Lepisosteus oculatus: one gene and its partner. The protein of the gene in region 1 purifies or fractionates together with the protein of each later gene. This does not show direct contact. Links are inferred from orthologs where the notes say so. Each region holds a gene or a part of one and is shown in the gene's direction. Other genes may lie near its edges. The genes, in order: inositol polyphosphate 5-phosphatase K and gart.

Region 1 (9,835 bases):
GCTGCGAGCCTTCGTATCGCATTCCACCCAGTTCTGAGGATGCACAAATTGTTGTTTTGCCAGAAATGCAACTTTACACTGTCCAGGAGTTTTAGCGTGTTTTAGAGGACTTTTATTGTGAACGGCACCGCAAATAGGAAGCCAGCTCCAGCGTCTTCATGCCGCACTCGGGCTGGCAGCAAGCGGCTGTGTCTGCAAGCGCCCGGTCACTCAGTAGGCACAGCAGATGCACCTGTTTGTTTTTCGGACAGCGTGACTGGCGTAGCTGGCTCATTATTACCGCACGGTATGACTTAATATTTTGTTTTTATGGTAATTGAAACATTGTGAATCGACCATGTTCAGATTAGCAGGAAAATATATAGAAGGAAACTGATGCCTCTCTGGCGGATCCGTTTAGCCTTTATTTGATCGGAGAGGAGGGGCGGTGCTGTAAATACGTGATTAGTCAACTGATGCGCTAATCTGTGCTGTCAGAGATGCCTTTAAACTTATTTTGCGACGTCTGCCTAGAAGTCGTAAATGTCTGAAAGATGAGATTATTTCTAAAATAAAGGAAATCGTGGAGTGAACGGGCAGCATGAAATTCTTTTCTTTCCGCGTTTATTTGGCTCAGCCTGACTCAGCTATGGGAATAACAGTATCTCACAGTGACGTACGTAGGCGAAGCAGCGCAGTGCTTAGTGTTAATGTGGATAGTAATAATGATGTTAAACACGGTCGTTTGCCGTCTAACGTGGGATGCGTGATTGTGCTCTGCGTGTTTACACATGCTCTTATAGTAGGAACGCTACTATGTTGAAGCTGTTGGCACTTTACCAGTTGACTGATGTTAAAACTGGAACTCTTAAGACGGTAAGACGTGTCAGCTCGTGTATTGCAAGTCCGGTATTTATGGAGAGTGGCATCAGGATGATTTAAGTTTCCTACAACGCGAAGATCTATAATTATGCTCTCGTTGTTCATGCTGTAGACCACTCGCACCCACAGGTGTTTTCCGTGTCGTGTCGCGTCCTGTCAGTGTTCCAGTGTCACGCAGATGTGGGTCTGCGCTGTTTGATTAACAGATGTCTACTGTGAACGTCATAGGCTGATAAAAAAGATTTTTTAAATAAAACTGTACTTGAACAGTTTTTAATTAAAAATTGTTTTAAAAAGAATTCCACTTGTCATAAACCAGGCATTCAAGATGTCTCTGGATTTAAATATTAAAGGGCTGAATTATAACGCTAAATATTATAAAATGATTAAACAGCGTGCTATTAATGTTCTGGTTCCATAGATAGATATGGCACAGCTATATCAGCATTGGAGTGAAGCGGAAAAAATCACGAACATATAAAATCTTTTCTGACAGCAGCCCTGGAAGATGGAGACGCCCGATAAATAATGGGAGACGACGTGAGAGTGCCTGTATCACGAGCACAGTAAAAGCGCAGACCTTTACCGTCAGCCCTGTATAAGAAGGAATTCTGGGGAAGCGATTCTGAAAAAGACATGCAGCATATTGATCAGATTGTTCTGGTCCAGGCATGTGATGGTCTGTGAAAAGCAGACATCAGAAGGATTAGAAAAGGCGATTAGACACAGAGAAAATCCAGGATGTGGCTAATCTTTTTTATGAATTAGCTGTCTGTTCCATCATTTGTTTTCAAATAGTGTTTTGTAATATACAGAGAAGTACTGCATTCAAAATATTAATATTTCACAATAGTTAGGGCTGTAGGACACAGCACAGAAACATCAGATTGAGCCTGACCCTTTCGTGGTATCTGCACACACCTCAGTTGTCAGCAGTGCAAATGATGCAGCACTGATTTCTCAGGCTTCTCCCAGAGCACTGGACTGTGTGACTGCAGGGTCCCTGGGAATGATGAAGCTGCGTCCGTGAGCTGATGTGGTGTGTGTCTTCACAGGCTCAAGGATGCATTTAAGCCCTACGTCAGAGACCCAGAACTCTCTGTTCCAGGCCAAGATCAGCAGTAAGACTGCAGCCAAGATGGACACTTTCAGGTACGTTTAGGGGTGAGGATGATAATGATGCCAGTGTGAGAGCTGAGTGTTTCTGCAATGTGTAGATCATGATACATGATTCTAATTATGGTTATTTAACCTTAGATGTTGAATGTTGTTATCTGATCAGACAAAAGGCTTTGGGAGTCTGAAACAGCTGAATGAGATCCCCAGCTTGAACATCTACTATGAATCACATGAACTATTTGGGTAAAATGGCCAATTGATGACCTTCCTCATGCTCCAGGTGTCTTCAGCACGTCCTGAGGGCAGGTTCACACCTGGCTGCAGAAACCTGGTCTTTCCCCTGTGAGACCCTTATGCTCAGGGCCCTGTCTCCCTGGGGAGCTGCCAGAGCAGTGGGGAGTTTTTAGTTCCATTGCTGTTGCCTTGGAAAAGGCATCGACAGGAAGATTGACATGGATGGTTGAAGCTGCAGACCTCTTTCCTCTTGTAACTTGTTACCTCATAAGAAACCTGCTTCCAGGAAGTGAGAGGGTTCTGGTGCTCAGAGCTGGTCAGGTGTGGACCCATGTGTCGCCATGAGGAAATACCTGATCCCTCACTGCTGGAGAACACAGTCTGTGCTCTTAGTTCTTCATTTGCTCTGAAGGTGCGAAGCTGGTGCTCATTGCTCTGGGGTTGTTAGGGTATTGCCGCCCGGGACTGTATATAGAGCTTCTTACCACATACATACGGAGTTTAGGGATTAGTAACTGGTAGGTGCTGTAGAAAGAAGAAAAAATTAGAAAAAATGGGAAAGATCAGTCCTACTATTCAGGCTGGACCAATAGAGAACTTTTTTGCCATTTTTTCCATATGTTATTATTTATATATAATATATATTATGTTTTGTGAGACTGTTCCTGAATTGATAAAAAAATTATAATTGTCAATAATTTTCTGTTTATGCACTTCCGATCACAGAAATAATCAGTTTGACTCACCGATACAGTCCAAGATCAGAGGAGTGAGGGTGCTCATAGCGTGCTCTGTGAAAGCGCGTGTTTCTGCTCCTTTGCCTGGTCAGGCAGCGCGAACTGTGGAGCCTACAGCAGAGCGAGCGCTCCTCGGAGACCACACTGGACACTCGCAGGCCCTGGCCAGTCACAGGGGCCACTCTTGCACGACAAGATGAGGGTGTCCTGGTCAAGTTAAGTCCACCCAAGTTGGCAAGTGTTGCCACTCCTTGTTGAATCCAAGTGACAATAGGAGAGGTAGGCAGGGTTTGGCAGTGTAGGCAGCAAGAAGATAACTTGCAGATACAAAATGGGAAACTGAGATAGAAGAGGCTACTGATGTAAACGACAGATGTGTGTGTTGATGCAGGTTCTGCTTATATCTTCTAGACAATGAGGAGAAGGAATAAAAAGGAAATCCTAAATATGTATGAAAGAATATATATTTAAATTTAAAAGTGCAGAATTTAAATCAAGGGATGTTATGTTAAACGTCTTCAATGCACTAGCATGGCTTCATTTAGAAAATTGTGTACAGTTTTGTACACCATGTTGTAGAAAAGATGTTGCTTCTGTGTAATCTGTCCAGAAAAGAGCAACCAGATACATTCCAGATCACAAAGAAATTTCCTACACTGACAGGCCAAAGGAACTAAATCTTTACAGTTTTGAACAGAGAAGACAATAAGCCGACCTGATACAAATGTTCAAAATCCTCAAAGACATTGACAACATCAGCCCAGTAGATTTCTTCCGAATAAACAATTAAACGCAAACCCTACGTGAAGATACAGAGGCTACAAGCAGAAACTACGAGGAAGTACATTTTAAACTGAGGACAGGAGGTATGTCTTCAGCCAGAGGGTTGTGGGAATGTAGAACATGTTACCCAGCCTTGTTGAAGCCCATACCCTGGCTTCTGTTAGAAAACAGCTTGATCCTTCAGTTAGGGACTAACAAAGAGACAAGATAACCTGGGTGTCCTCCTCTTGTTTGTAACTGTTCATATTAACTTAATTACGTTTTATATTATTCACAAAATCTGCACCTCATCTCGCAAATGTGCTGGGCTTTTTCTAGTGGGAGCTGTCCTTGTATCTTTCTACATACATATGTCAGAATGCAGCTTGCAGTGCTCTCAATTATAGCAATTTGAGAAGATTGAGAATGTCACTATTGCATCCACTGGTCCTGACTAATGGAGACGGAGTTTGGCCAGCTGAACAGATCATGCAAGTTCAAATGGTCTGAACTGGAGCTCAGACCCTCACCCTGCTCCTGGCCCCCTGATCTGAAGAATGCCTCTGTTGTGATATGTTCAGGAATGCTGGAAGCACCTTGTGACAGAATTATCCAGTGAACTGAGGGGATTAAAGTCCTTGTGAAAGAGGTATTTGTGGGTTTTGTGTAACAGTCTTTTTCTGGACATCTGAGCACTCCAAGCACAGTTTCAATTCATTAGCCAGGAGTTCTGCCAATTAAGAACCAGAGCTCTGCTGTCACAGGGGAAAGCGGATTTTCTTCTTTGTGTGCTTCAGCTCCAGAGCTGTCCTGGAAGGAGTGGGGTGACGGGGGGGTGAGGAGGGAGCTGAACCGCAGGCCTGTGGCTGTCTGAGAGCTCTGGAAAGGTGTTGGATTGGTGCAGCCTTGGTCCCAGCAATCTTTTAGCTTTATTCTACCAAAAGAAAACAAGTATGATGGGATAAATGGGCCATCTTGATCTTTTGCTTCACTTCTTTCTGCACCTATGTACCTAAAATCAGGGCATAATGACATCTATGAGTCCTGTTAATACAGTAAAAGCAAAATTTAACATTCTGTTGGGGGAAGGGTGGTCTGTTAATGGGGATAGTCTGTTAAGTCATGACGCATATGCTACATCTAATTCATACACAGATACTACTCTCTGAATAATGTAATGTAGTTACCTTCTTTTAAAATGCAATTTTAAGCAAAGTTATTGTAAGAGAATCTAATTTTCCAATAAGAATTAAAGTAAACATTAAGGTTGCCCAGTTTGGTATAATTTTGAACAATTCCATACTGTACTGGGCAAGCCAATGGATGCTGTGGCGAAAGTTATTCTGATAACTCTTCAGTGACATTGAAAATAAGCCAAAGGTATCAAATGTAATTCAGACAGTTATTTACTTTGCCAATGCCCTTTTTAACCTGCTGACTTAATTTTAATGTATTTTGTGGCCTGACCACCACAGTGGACCAATAGCATGTTAAGAGGCTAGGTGGGGGATTGGGGCTAGACTGGGGCTAGAGGGGGATAGACCCCCTTTTGTCGTGATTTGGCTTGGAGAGCAAGACTGTTGGTGTTATAGAGTCCAACTCTTACGCACAAGACAAATCATTATTTGCCTCACTGGAATATTAACCGGATTAGAGCTCAAATGTCTCCTAACAATGGGCCAGTGATGCTGGAATCAGCCAGTGCCCAGCACAGACGCATTCGCAAGCCTCTGGTCACCAAGGCCTCTCTGTCACGTGGGTTCCTGGAGATTTAAATAATCCTCCACTTGAGAGGCAGAACATCCTTTTAAGTTTTATTGTTGTTTTCACCAATTCATTTGAGGAGCACAATTGGACCTAAAGGAGAAGTGGACTTGTTACTTCATTAGGAAGTTGGTCTTTTGGTGTTTTTCCTTCTGTCTTTTTGGTGGTCTTGCTGGGCCTGCCAGTCCTGGTGCTGGAGCTCCTCCCGTGCTGAAAGAAGGAGGACTTGTTCACCTGCTCTGAAACGTCCGACTACAGCTTTGTAAACTGCAAGAAATTACCTTTTGACCAAAGAACTTTGGAAAGGATTTTATTCTGGATGCAAAAGAAGTTCAAGAAAGAGAACAAGAAACTGTTGTTTGAATTGCAGTTGCTGATTCATACTGGAACCATTGATTGTAGCTCATTCATATATTTTTAAGAACTTTTCACTGAACACTTGTACCAGTAATTGAATCATCTTAATTTTCATCGATCGGCTTGTTTTGCATTGCTACTGGCTTGCTGCCGCAATCGGCTAGTCTGAGCAGAAGTGCCGGGAGGCAGTGTGTGATTGCGTGTGGAGCTTCACTGCCAGCTCGCCCTGACCGACCCAGCCTGCCAGCGGATGGAGGATGCGGAGGGGCTCCCGGGGCTGCGTGCCCGCTCCGACAGCATGGCCAGCACAGCCTCGGTGTCCACCAGCGGGAGGCTGCTCCTGCGCCAGCGCGTGGTGCAGCTCATGACCTGCGTGGAGGACCTGAGCTCTGACGAGGAGCTGCAGGAGGAGGTGTCTCGCACCCTGAATGAGGCTTTCCTGCTCTGCGGGAAGCGGGGCGCCCGCGAGGAGGAGCGCTTCAGGTGCCTTGGCTGTTACCATCTGCTCCCTGGCGTCCTGGGGGGAGAGAGAGTGGTTTAAAGCTCCAGAAATTCACATGTATTTCCGATAGTCCAGGGAAGGACAACCAGGGCAATGAGCACAAATTCCTCCTCCACTTCAGTACTCAGAATGCTTTAACTGATGTGATGCGAGAGGTGCAGACATACTAAAAAACAAAATGGGAAAGTCTCTAGTCAAATGTCTCAGTCATACGTATCATAAATTTACAGGCACATCACTGAGATTTTTCATAGTGAGGAGGGGATGGAGTAATGTGGTTTCCAGCTGGACTCTTGTTGGATGTTTTTGTAAAATTTCTGAGATGCTATTTATAGCCTTTGGAGACGCAGTGCAGCGATGTTCCTCTGAACCAATGCAATGCAAGTTGTCCATGTCTGGAATGTGTCCTTCTTTATGTACCAGCGGTGCTGTGGTTCTGCTCCTCTCTCTCAGGTTGCACATGGTCACCTGGAATGTGGGGACTGCTGCCCCCCCCAGCGATGTCAGCTCCCTGCTGGAGCTGGACTCTGAGAAACCTGCTGACTTGTTTGTGATTGGGTGAGTGAGTGTCCAGCAGGTGGGACATCCTGCAAGAGGCTTCTTCCCATCTACATTTCTATTTCATCACTTTCTACTGCAATTACAAAATCTGTTCTCCTTTTAAAGGAGTATTGCTTATTCAGTTTCTGCCATTCCTTTAAGACCACTTTCTCTTGAGATCTGCTCCATGGTATTGTCAGCACCCTGCTTACAGGACTGTTGTGTGTGACAAATGGTCCTACTTCAAACAACAGTAAAACAGCTTGTTGTACAAAGCAAAATTAAATGCCACATAGAGACTCCATTAACATCAAAACATGCAACATCCTACCTTGAAATTCACACAATTTATTCTCTGTAATAACTATTTTAAAGCTCTGTTTCAGAGTGACATGAGCCTCTACTTTATGTATCATTTTATGTTACCGTTTGACTTTTTTTAACACCAGCTATAAGGGCATCAGTTTTGCCAGTATCACAGTACAGTCATAGCTAACAATAAGAACTTTAAGTCACAGAATAAAAATTAAGTCCCAGTTAAAGACTAAAACAAAATAGACAGAGCAGACATGTATGTTGCAGAAAATCCTTTCTTACTAAGAATTAGGCATATGTTTCTAACATATTCAGCCCGAGACATGCAGTACTGTACTCTTACCTCAACCACAGCTGCTGATGCCCGAGAAGAGAATAATACCTCTGATCACTGCTCAGAAGGCAACAAAGTCCTCACACAGGTCCCTGGTGTGTCAGTTGACATCTGACATGTTCAGTCATGTTCGAAGAGGAAAATAAAGAAGCCCTGAAAGGCGTGTGCACCCATTCAGGAGCTGCCAGTGCAGAGTGCCCGCCTAGAGCTGCACTCCGGCATGCTGGATGCGGGTGGCATAGGCTGGTATCGCTGGTGCCTTTGGCAGCTGTTCTGTGTTTTCTCTGCAGGCTGCAGGAAGTCAACTCCAGGCTTCTGAATTTTATTAATGACATGACGTTTGAGGACCCCTGGAGTCGCCTCCTGATGGACACGCTGGCCCCGCTGGGATATGTGAAGGTTCGGCCTTTTACTCTTCTCTGCAGCGTCCGTCTCAGTTCACACCTTCTAGAGTTCTAGAGCTTCAAACATGAGCGTAAAAAACTGATGAAGAAAGTAAAAATGAATTCCATGCCAGTTCTCTGTGTAGCACCATCTGTGCCTGCAAGTTAGGGAAAGCTATGATGCTGTAACAAAGCGGTCTTCTCCTCTCACACATGAAGACTTTGTTTCTTTTTCAAAATGCAAATACATAAAATTCCTGAACACTGACACTGCTGTAGGCTTGTGGCAAACTAAGAGCTGGTTAAAAGAGGTGCTACCATCTTTAAAGAATTGTAGTTGAAGCTGTATCTCCAGTCAAGGCTGAAACTAATGGTCTTGATGCAGGACCTTTTCATTGCAGTACTGGGCCAGGCTGCCATCCCAGCAGCTTCAGTGTCTTTCAGAGACATGTGTGTGCTGTATCTCTCGCTGCTGACTTGGCCTTCCTGAACAATGGAAGGCATTGTCATCCACCTCATTAGGGGGCTGTTAATACAGTGAGAGGGCATGGTTTGTTTATCAAACAGAGTCTCATTTGTGGTCCAAACCAATTAATATTGTTAAGCCTTCATTTTTTATTAAACTTTTTATTCTCAGAGTGTCTGAACATGTATGTCTTTGTAGTGTCCTCTGTTATCTGGAAACCTCTGTTTGCTTGAAAGGAACAGTGGGATAATACTAGCTAACGTAGTTCACACTAGAGTTCCCTGCAGTTCATACTGGCAGCACATGGAGTTGCTCTTTTGCCTGTATGATCTCTCTCATTCTCCTGTCTTCTGAATGAACCTGTCAACCCTAAAGTGCTGAAGCGCTGTACACTACCAGTACCCAGAATGGGACCTGAACAGCTGACAGGTGCCCAGGAGATTCGTCTGTCATTAAGAACAGACTTTTCTCCAAAGGGACCACTTCCTTTCAATGTCCACTCTAGACCCGTTTGCTTGCTTTATTTCTGGACAGCTTAGAATCTGCAAAGCAGTTAGTGAGAAGCAGAGCACATGCTGTCTCATAACAGAAATGTTCAGGCCATTAGTTGGGAACCAGTGATAAAGCCAATTTATAATAATCGATTTTCACACATATTTATCCCCTTTCATACTAAAGGAGACCCATTTCCTCCTCCATCGTGGGTGATGCTCAGCATCTGCTCTGCAGGAGCAGATCCAGGCTAGGAGTGAGGAACTGCTGCACCAGGGGGAACTTTAGGGAGGCCAGACTGTTTGAGCACAGTGACATTTAGCCAGATCACCGGGGTGCATACTCCTGTTTGTGTGAGCAGTGCCTTGGAATCTTTCGTGACCAAGTGGCCATGTTGTGCTGTGACTCAATGAATGGCCAATGGCCAGTTGTTCGCTTAGCTGTTTCATGTTGAGCCCATAACTTCACATACATTTGTCTTGAAAATAAATATTTTCTCTTCACCTCACTTTTTGATTAATAGCTTTGATTTCAGAATGGAGGCAAGCTCATTGTCCCCCAACCCTGTCTGTCCCTTCTCATGCAGCTGATATCCATCCGCATGCAGGGACTCCTGTTGCTCCTCTTTGCCAAGCAAGCGCACATCACATTCATCCGGGACATCCAGGCCAGCTACACCCGCACCGGCATCTACGGATACTGGGTAGGAAAGAGAGCGATTCCTGCCTTCAGGCACCAGCAAATGATAAAACCAAGTTAAAACTGAAACAATATAAAAAATCTAAATTTTCTGCCATGCTTATAAGTAATCTGGTGTCCAGTTCTACAACTCAACTCATGAGTTTGATGCAGATGAACAGAAGGGGAGGTGAAGGGCTGCCTGCTGACTGCTGCTGTCTTTCCAGCATGCTGTTCAGCAGTATTGCATGTTTACCACGAGTCTTAAAAATGTTGAGTTGGGAATTGTCT
Region 2 (9,365 bases), on another chromosome or scaffold:
TGGGGATCAGCGTGACGGCCGAGGACGCGGACCGCTGCGTCCAGACACGCCTGCGTCAAAACGAGGCCCCTCTCCCGGAGTATCTGCTCTCCCGGAGCCAGGCTGGTACGAGCTTTCCTTTTTGTTCCAGTACTGACAGCGGATAAGGTCCACGGAGGAGGAGAAATCATGTTTAAAGTGGCCTCTAGGCGTTAGTCAAAATACTAACTCAATACGGGCATTGTGAAAGAAGCTGACCCAGACGCGATTGTTTTGCTCTCACGTTCTCATGAACAGGTCGCACATGTTCTTATTACGTGTTCTCTGCCAGAACACGTTCGCATTAGAACATACATTCTTAAGAGCAAGGGGTGTCAGCCACAGTGCCTGCAGTCTTTCAGGCTCCCAATCCAGGCTCTCAGTTAATTCATTAACGAGTCTAATTACGTGGGGGGATTTATTACTCTTGTCCAGCTTCATATTCAGTTTTGTGGAAACCATCCTGAAGCAACAGCCTCAACTGAATTCAACTGACAAAAAAGTGTAAAAATCTTAATAAAGCCCCAAGTTGAGTGTGATGCCGTGTCCTTGTGTGTGGGACAGCGCCTCCCAGTGGTCTGTGATCTGTGCCTTCAGTCTGTCAGCAGCAGAGTGTGGAACGTTGAGCACTGAGCGACAGTGAGCCTGGACACTGCGAGGTCCCAGAGACAGGAGCTGCATTTGGAGGTGTTGGGCACAGTCCTAGTGTACCAGTGCAGAGTAGGGACAGCTGCACCTTCGCAGGCAAACGATTGTCAGTGTTCATTTACCCTGTGCTCATTGTTTACGAGAGCTGACTGGAAGTGATCATTGCCTTCCCTCAAGTCTTAATATATTGCTGATTTAAAGAGTCTTATAAACCAGGAGTCTCAGACTCTGTTGCTGAAAGGCCTTGTGTCTTTTAGTCTTTGTTCTGACCTGAATCTTCAATTAGACAATTAACCTCATTGTTTTCTAAATTAGACACAGATAGGATTTTTCTTAAGGTCTTTTACAGGTGATTACACAAGGCATTTAAGGTACAGTTAACTATAAACCACCTTGGAGCTTAATTGGACTTATATTCCAGTTATGCAGCTAATAAAATAATTAGACCATAAATGTAACTGAGGATGTGGTTGGAACCACTGGTATCGATCCTCTGGGTCTGGTGGTGTTGAAGTCCATGCTGTGCTGTTCAGGGTTGAGGGCTGAGGGCTTGTGTATGTCTTTCTGCTGTCCCAGTTTGTATATTTCTAGCGAGACTCCCTGTGATCAATGTGTGTATTTCCAGCGAGACTCTCTGTGACCAGTTTGTGTATTCCCTGTGAGACTCTCTGTGATCAGTGTGTGTATTCCCTGTGAGACTCTCTGTGATCAGTGTGTGTATTTCCAGTGAGACTCTCTGTGATCAGTGTGTGTATTTCCAGTGAGACCCTTTGTGATCAGTGTGTGTTTTTCCAGGGGCCACACACCAGCAGCTGGTGGAGGGTGCGGAGAGGGCAAGTGGTGGACGGGTGCTGGGCCGGTTTTTCCCACTCCACCCATCCCGGCAGCTGGCTCTGGTACCCTGGCTGGCCTCATGGATCCGGAAGGGTGCTGTTCCTGTTGCCACCATGAACATGCAGCTGGCAGTGCCCGAGGGTGAGGAGGTGCCTGATGCCTGGCACCACCAACTCATCTTTGGCGTCACACCCAGTGCCGTTTACATGACAAACCCCCTGGATGTGGGTGAGTGAGCTGCAGTGGTGGGAACCGACTGGCCTGTCCCTGAGACACAACTGTTTTTCTTCTTTAGTTCTCTCTGTTTGTTCTGTAAAGGATTTAAGGTTGAAATCATGTTCAGTCAGTGTTTGAATGCAGTGTTTGACTCAGCACTGAGTCATTATGTGTGTGCAGAGAGACCCTCTCTGATCAGTGTGTGCTTGCAATGAGACCCTTTTCAATTAAATATCAATTACTGTATGCATTGAAACTTTCTATGATCAGTGTGTGTATTTCCAGTGAGCCTCTCTGTGATCAGTGTGTGTATTTCCAGGGAGCCTCTCTCTGATCAGTGTGTGTATTTCCAGTGAGACTCTGTGATCAGTGTGTGTATTTCCAGGGAGCCTCTCTCTGATCAGTGTGTGTATTTCCAGTGAGACTCTGTGATCAGTGTGTGTATTTCCAGGGAGACTCTCTGTGATCAGCATGTGTATGTCCAGTGAGCCTGATCTGTGATCAGTGTGTATTTCCAGGGAGCCTCTCTGTGATCAGTGTGTGTATTTCCAGAGAGACTCTGTGATCAGTGTGTGTATTTCCAGTGAGCCTCTCTCTGATCAGTGTGTGTATTTCCAGTGAGACTCTCTGTGATCAGTGTGTGTATTTCCAGTGAGACTCTCTGTGATCAGTGTGTGTATTTCCAGGGAGACTCTCTGTGATCAGCATGTGTATGACCAGTGAGCCTGATCTGTGATCAGTTTGTATTTCCAGGGAGACTCTCTGTGATCAGTGTTTGTATTTCTAGTGAGCCTCTCTGTGATCAGTGTGTGTATTTCCAGTGAGCCTCTCTGTGATCAGTGTGTGTATTTCCAGTGAGATTCTCTGTGATCAGTGTGTGTATTTCCAGTAAACCTGATCTGTGATCGGTGTGTATTTCCAGTGAGCCTCTCTGTGATCAGTGTGTGTATTTCCAGTGAAACTCTCTGTGATCAGTGTGTGTATTTCCAGTGAGCGCTCAGGTGGTGCAGCAGCGTCTGTGCAGTGATTCGGTGCTGTTGGTGAGGAGAGAGGATGTCCTGCAGAGGCTGACAGCTGATACACCGGTCTCGGTATTGCCTCAGGGACACACTGACCCCTGCTGGGACATTCTAGACGTGGCAGGTGAGAAGAGCCCAGGGCCTGACTGTTAGCTTCTCCATTTGTCAGTCTCTTTCAAACTTCATCTCTATGTTTTTTCTGTTTTGGCCTCCAGGAGCATTATTAGTTACTGCCCTAGGCCCTTCTTCAAAGCTGCCTTGCCAGTTTTATAATGCTTTTGTACTTTTCTTAATTTAATTAAATTACTAATTTAATTTTTACATTTTTTAATAGAAACTAAATTTATCACTTCTGCCGTGAAGTTCAATTCATAGGTAGTGTTTTTCATGTTGTGAAGCTTGCACTTGATGATGATGATGACGATTACTAGTATTGTGTATCACAATATACTGTGTCCTGTGGCAGGCCAGGTAAGGCAGATGGTGCGTGAGGAAGAGAATGACCCCAGAATGACGCACATTGTGATCCCAGCAGCATACAAGTCAGGAGTCACTCTGTTTGCCCTGAAAGACACCGCCCTTGGACAGGAGCTTCTCCTCGCCCCCGATCTGCCCCTGCTGCATTCGGACACCCTCAGAGTCTGCGCTTAGAGGCTACACTGAACCCCTCTGCAACCTCTGTACTGCTTCTCATGAGCCATGGAGAGGAAGGAGCATGCAGGCAGAAGACTGTACTTGATTTTAATTGATTAATGTGCTGGAAAACCAGAACACGCCCTTGATCACCTGTTATGAGTTGATGAAGCACCGGGGATCAATGGGCAGGGGGATGCTTGTCTGTTCTTAGAGAGTTACCCCGCAGAAGACTCAAACTGAAAAATGTGATACCAGACTTCCTCGCTTCTCACACAGCCTCCTTTCACCCTGATCAGATTGTATTACTGGAGCTCTCCATCCCAACTCTTGACCATCTTAAATAACGTGCAATAAGGCTTAATTATGCTTCACTCCCATACTTCCTCTGGTTTGATTTCTCTTAATCTCAGATACAGATTGTGAATAGATTAAATGAAAAGACTTGAAACACTGTCATCTTTATTTCTTTATTTGTATAGTGCCTTTCATGCCAAAGCAATCCTAAAGTTCTCTGAATACAATGAAAGAAAATGTCAATAAGATTTACAAAAATCATAATTGAAATCTTGATAGAAATACAAAATACTACAAATTAAATATGACAATAGTGTTAAAATGAAAGTTAATGAGAAAAGGTTGACTTATAAAAAAAAATCATGAAGGTTATTCTCAAATTTGTAAATACCACATTTTGCAGAGATCTGTTGAATTAAGGTTAAATATCACCCTGCAACTCACAACTGGCAACCCCCTGAAACTAAGATGGTGTGAGTCTGGTCAGTACCTGGATGGGAGACCTCCTGGGAAAAACCAAGGTTGCTGCTGGAAGAGGTGTTAGTGGGGCCAGCAGGTGGCGCTCACCCTGTGGTCTGTGTGGGTCTGAATGCCCTAGTATAGTGACAGGGACACTATACTGTAAACAGGCGCCGTCCTTCAGATGAGACATAAAACCGAGGTCCTGACTCTCTGTGGTCATTAAAAATCCCAGGGTGTTTCTCGAAAAGAGTAGGGGTGTAACCCCGGCGTCCTGGCCAAATTTCCCATTGGCCCTTATCAATCATGGCCTCCTAATAATCCCCCTCTATGAATTTGCTACATTACTCTGCTCTCCTCCCCACTGATAGCTGATGTGTGGTGAGCATTCTGGCGCACTATGGCTGCCGTTGCATCATCCAGGTGGATGCTGCACATTGGTGGTGGTGGAGGGGAGTCCCCATTACCTGTAAACCACTTTGAGTGGAGCGTCCAGAAAAGTGCTATATAAGTGTAAGCAATTATTATTATTATTATTATTATTATTATTAATAAGGTGCTATACAGGTTTTGCTTTGATTTGACCAGATCTGGCGCTAGAAAAGGAAATACAACACGTGGTTTGGGAAACTACATCCCCCATGATGCTCTGTAAGCATGCTGTGTTGGAGAAAAGACGTGATCCAAACTTATTCGTTTTTTGCGACACAAAACTAGGGAGATCGCACGATTAGTTAGAAGTACACGAGTGCATTGTGTTGGATTTAGATAATGATGTCATAGGTTTATTTCGATAGTTCACCGCCCCCTCCCCATGTGTTCAAACTCGCAGCACGAGGCGTTTGCTGTGTGCTTCAGTTCCGTATCTGTGCAGGAAGACGCTGCAACATTTGGGACTCCCTGCATACGAAGTGTTATCCCACCAACGTTCCGGAAAGCACTGCTGGCCGCTACATTCACAAAGCCTCAGGCGCGTCCCCTAACTTTCAGGTAATAACTTTTGGGGTTTGCACGTGTGGTTTTGAGAGAATAGTATTACTTTGAGTTTACTTTGGACACGATTGTTTCCCGCTTTGTTAAACGTGTGCGTTCTCAACTCCATGACTCGAGTTTAATATGAATGTTAAACTTTATAATGTATTTATATACGACTCATAATTTGCAATTTGTAAAATTGCCCAAGAAAGAAACAATTTAAATGAGCCGCCTAGAGCTCATTTAAATATATGCATGGGTCAGTTAATTAAAAGTACATCAAAATGCATGATAGACACGATCAATGTCTTCTTGGACAGGTAAATTGCTTCAGAAATATAGGAAGAACCCCGGTAATCATATCTTTTTACTTTGGATTAAAACCTGCAACTCTTGGAACACAAGAGTAAAAATGTGTGTTTATGAGTGATTTGACTGTCTAGGGAAAGATTATTTGCATATATATTTTTTCTTTTACTGAAATGACATTTCGTCTTCTCTGACCTCGTGAGGCGCATATGAGCCGACGAATTTTGCAATTACTGTAATGAGAAGTCATGCACAGCGAGTTAAAACGCTACATTCCAACAGTAAAATCGCGCCCCCCTGTCTAGGCTTGAGAGATGTGTTGATGTTAGGTCTGTAAAAAGAGATTGTAAGAAGGGTGGACGAGTTTAAAAATTGCACAATCGCATTGACAAATTCCAATTACCCAAATCAGTAGTGATAACCGCATGAGTGTAGGTCAGAGGTAGACCTTAACCTCTTCTTTCAGTGATTATTTGTATTCACTGTATTCATACGGGAATCTAAGTTGCCCGTCTAAATTCATGTCTCTAGTTGCCAGCATTATTGGTGAGATTTAGATGAATTCTTAGTGGGACATGCAAGTTTTAAAACAAAAATCTCTCTCCAACCAGCTACGGGCTTAAAAACTGACGTGTGTTGTATTGTTTACATACAGAACTGTCAAACTGGTTAAGAAATATTCCCAGGTTTTATAAGGACACGATTTACCACCCGTTCTTTTTTAGGAAACTGATTATCCCTGGTGAGTGTCCTGGAAACTTGAATGATGTCCCAGAATCGGAGTCGGTGAGATAGGACAATGCAATAAATATTAGGTGTGCGGATCAGCCCCTTCTTCTAGCCAGAAGTTCATCCTGGGTTAGTTCCTGATTCCCGATTCCTCATTCATCCCCTGCCTGACAGCTCCCTGTGGATTGCAAGTGAATCACGACTGCAGAAGGTGTCATTTAGAACCAAGACAAGTTTGAAGAGCCTTTCCTGCAGTAATCCAGATACGGTAACTGCAAACCTCAGTGTGTAGAGCTAGGAATACAGGATTGACTAGAAGATGTTTGCAGCATTCTAGCATTGGATTGACATTTAAGGGGAACTGCAACCCTATTTTTACATTTGGGGTTTATAATGAATTGGCAATGATGAGTGCATTTCCAACCACAATGAAATTACCAAGTGCAAGATAATGTGTACAACCTCCAATTTACATCACAAAAGAGGCCATTTCAATGTGTGCGTAGCTCCTTTAAAGACGTCATTGTCTGTGATTCAGAACGAAGCAACAAATCTTCCAGTGATGCGAGAGCAGTCCTGTTACCTTTAGATCAAGCAAATTGTGCAACTTTATTTATTTTAAAATTGTTTAATGAAACCGACACATAGAAGCCAACTTGTTTTTTAGATACTTTTTAAGTATTGCAAAAAAGACCAACCTGCAAACCAGCTAAAATAGACATTTGTTTTCAAGTTTTGCAAAAGTGCTCTGTCATTTACTTTGGTGGTTATTTTATGATGTATCACACCTATAAGAAAAAAAATCATAGCAGGACTTGTATTGTTGGAGAACTTGTTGCACCATAGACCGTGCTGTCGTCTGAACAGCTGATTTAAGTGCAATTGAATTGTGTTCAACATATTGACTTAGAGATGGTTTTGTCGGCAAATACTACTTAACTCAGCATGCAGATGACTTTTGAACATTTCTGGGGTGAAGTTTCTGCTGCACAACCCGTACTTATTCGATTGTACCTCATGCTGAATCTCGCCAAGAAACTTGTCGATGGGCAACATCAGTGTCCATGTTTATTACCCATCTCTTGGCTAGTTGACGATCCCTTGGAAAAGAAAACTGTTGAACTTTCTGCTGATCCAGTCCTCAGTTTTATCCGACCACTAAAATGTCTCAAATGCTCGACAGTGAAGTATTGTTTAAAATATATACAACATAAAAAAGAGAAGAAAGGAATTAATATTGTTAGGAGACTGTTTCTCATTGACTTGCTGCGACTAGTGAGCAGGAAGGGCCGCTTTTACATCAGAATTTGCGCAAATACTCGCTCTTGCCTGTGGCAAGACCAGCAGTTTCTAATTTGTCAGTGACTACATTGCAGCTGTACAGTACGTATATGAAATTCACAATTTTGCATTTAATTAGAAATGTGTACATTTTGCAATACCTTCTAGACTAGAATACCGGGTCTGAGAAATTGGGAAGCAGTTCTCATTTAAGCCTGTGCCTATGAGTATATTTTCATTTCCCCAATTAGATTTCATCCGTGCTTTGGCACCAGTTGTAGAACTTGTTTAATAGTCTTCAGGATGATCAGAATGCTGCATCTTCAGTGCAAAATAAAACTATTAACACAAAGGGTTGATGGAGACTGGAACAAGCTACTTAGATATATGCCTATAGCATTGATGAGCTCTGTGTAATGTAATCTGTCCAGTTTGGCTCCCAAAGATAATATCCTAGAGGAATTATCACGTGTTTCCTGTTTGATATTTAGCATCTATATGAAAAGGGCCCATGAGTGTGGCAGTTATACACTGGTGTCCTTTTACACTGCTGAAAGATTTAAGGACAAAAGTGTTTTTAATGGGAGACTAGTCCCACGTGAGTGATGCTTATTAACGGGAGATGTCAGTGATTTGCTTCTGTCTGAAAGGTCACGGTTAGGCTGTAATTCAGAACTGACATTTTAAAAATGTTATATGCTGTGTTTGATGTTTTCTATAGGTCAGTCCTGCATGCAGTTAAGTTGCCTGGTTAGAAAATTAAACGCACCAGAATGCCCTGTGTTGATTAATAGTTTATGAATAAAGTATGAATAATTTTTGGAGTGGTGGGGGCAGTAAATCTATATAGTTTCTCTGGAGTGTCTGCCTACCTGTCAGTGGAATGGCTGATTGGGCTAGTAAGCTACAAGTTCAGTGAATCTTCTTTATTGACAAACCAAACTTTTTTCGTCTTGAATAGGCAAGATGACAAGGTGTCCTGAGTATTAAAAATCCTCCAAAGCATTGACAAAGTCAGTGCATTGGGTTTGAGCAATGAAACAGGAACCAGAGAACGCAAGTGGAAACTATGTGAAAGAGTGGCACTTCTTAACCCAAAGAGTTGTGGGAGTCTAGTCAAACTACCCAGCCATGTGGTTGAAGCTGATAACCCTATTCTTTTTTTTTTTCAGGAAATGGCTGGATGAGATTTTTGAATCAATTAACTATCAAACAGGCTAGAATGCACACATGGCCTCCTTTTTCATGATCTTATGTTGTCATATTTATTGGTTTCTGTAGAGTTCCACAAAAGCTTTAGGGGAGTATAACTGACTAATACTTAATGTATCCAAAACGATACCCAGATTGCAGATTTCTTTGTACTGGTTTTGAAGGGTTGTACTGCATGTTTTTATTTAGTGATGTGATAGTGGGTAATTGTAGTAATTTAGATTTTTTTAACAGTTGTATAATAATTTTCATTGCTCTATGTAAATATTCTTTCTGCCATTCGAGGTCTTTGAGTGCTAGGGCTCTCTCAGTCTGTCTGAATGTGTTCATTTGTTCTGTTCAAGTGTTGTCTCCTCCTTCTTTCTAGTCTGGACTGTTCCAATTTGAGGGGCATTGTGGTAAATGTTCTGGTTCACCAAAGTGAGTGCTTGAGTACCTTCGGGACCTCCATGTCAATGTCCAGGTGTTTTCTCTCTCTCTCAGAGACATGGCCGAGCGGGTGTTGGTGATTGGCAGCGGGGGCAGGGAGCATGTCCTGGCCTGGAAGCTGGCTCAGTCTCCGCACGTCCAGCAGGTCCTAGTTGCCCCAGGAAACGCCGGCACAGCTAATTGTGGCAAAATCTCCAATTCAGGTAAGAGTTGATGCCCTAGTGGGGCATTTTTAGAAATAAGTCCTTTCCCCAGCCCTGTGAGAGGAAACAGGGTAAGATACACTGTGTAACTTTTAGTAAACTG

The links.
Region 2: the proteins of inositol polyphosphate 5-phosphatase K (region 1) and gart purify together in Homo sapiens (co-immunoprecipitation; 3 studies listed by BioGRID and IntAct, counting the BioPlex papers as one, with this or other methods). This does not show direct contact. The link is inferred for Lepisosteus oculatus from reciprocal best matches to the Homo sapiens genes INPP5K and GART.

What each region holds. Positions count from the first base shown.
Region 1 is NC_090721.1:246,109-255,943, reverse strand, and holds the start of inositol polyphosphate 5-phosphatase K, read left to right. Parts: upstream 1-5,282; 5' UTR 5,283-6,084; coding exon 6,085-6,317; intron 6,318-6,789; coding exon 6,790-6,894; intron 6,895-7,815; coding exon 7,816-7,924; intron 7,925-9,452; coding exon 9,453-9,569; intron 9,570-9,835. UniProt on the Homo sapiens protein: Inositol 5-phosphatase which acts on inositol 1,4,5-trisphosphate, inositol 1,3,4,5-tetrakisphosphate, phosphatidylinositol 4,5-bisphosphate and phosphatidylinositol 3,4,5-trisphosphate.
Region 2 is NC_090708.1:27,019,076-27,028,440, reverse strand, and holds the start of gart (trifunctional purine biosynthetic protein adenosine-3), read left to right. Parts: upstream 1-4,791; 5' UTR 4,792-4,938; coding exon 4,939-5,114; intron 5,115-6,133; exon of another isoform or gene 6,134-6,266; intron 6,267-6,309; exon of another isoform or gene 6,310-6,405; intron 6,406-9,113; coding exon 9,114-9,262; intron 9,263-9,365. Other genes in the region: uncharacterized protein, read left to right, coding at 1-105, 1,462-1,728, 2,707-2,859, 3,202-3,386. UniProt on the Homo sapiens protein: Trifunctional enzyme that catalyzes three distinct reactions as part of the 'de novo' inosine monophosphate biosynthetic pathway.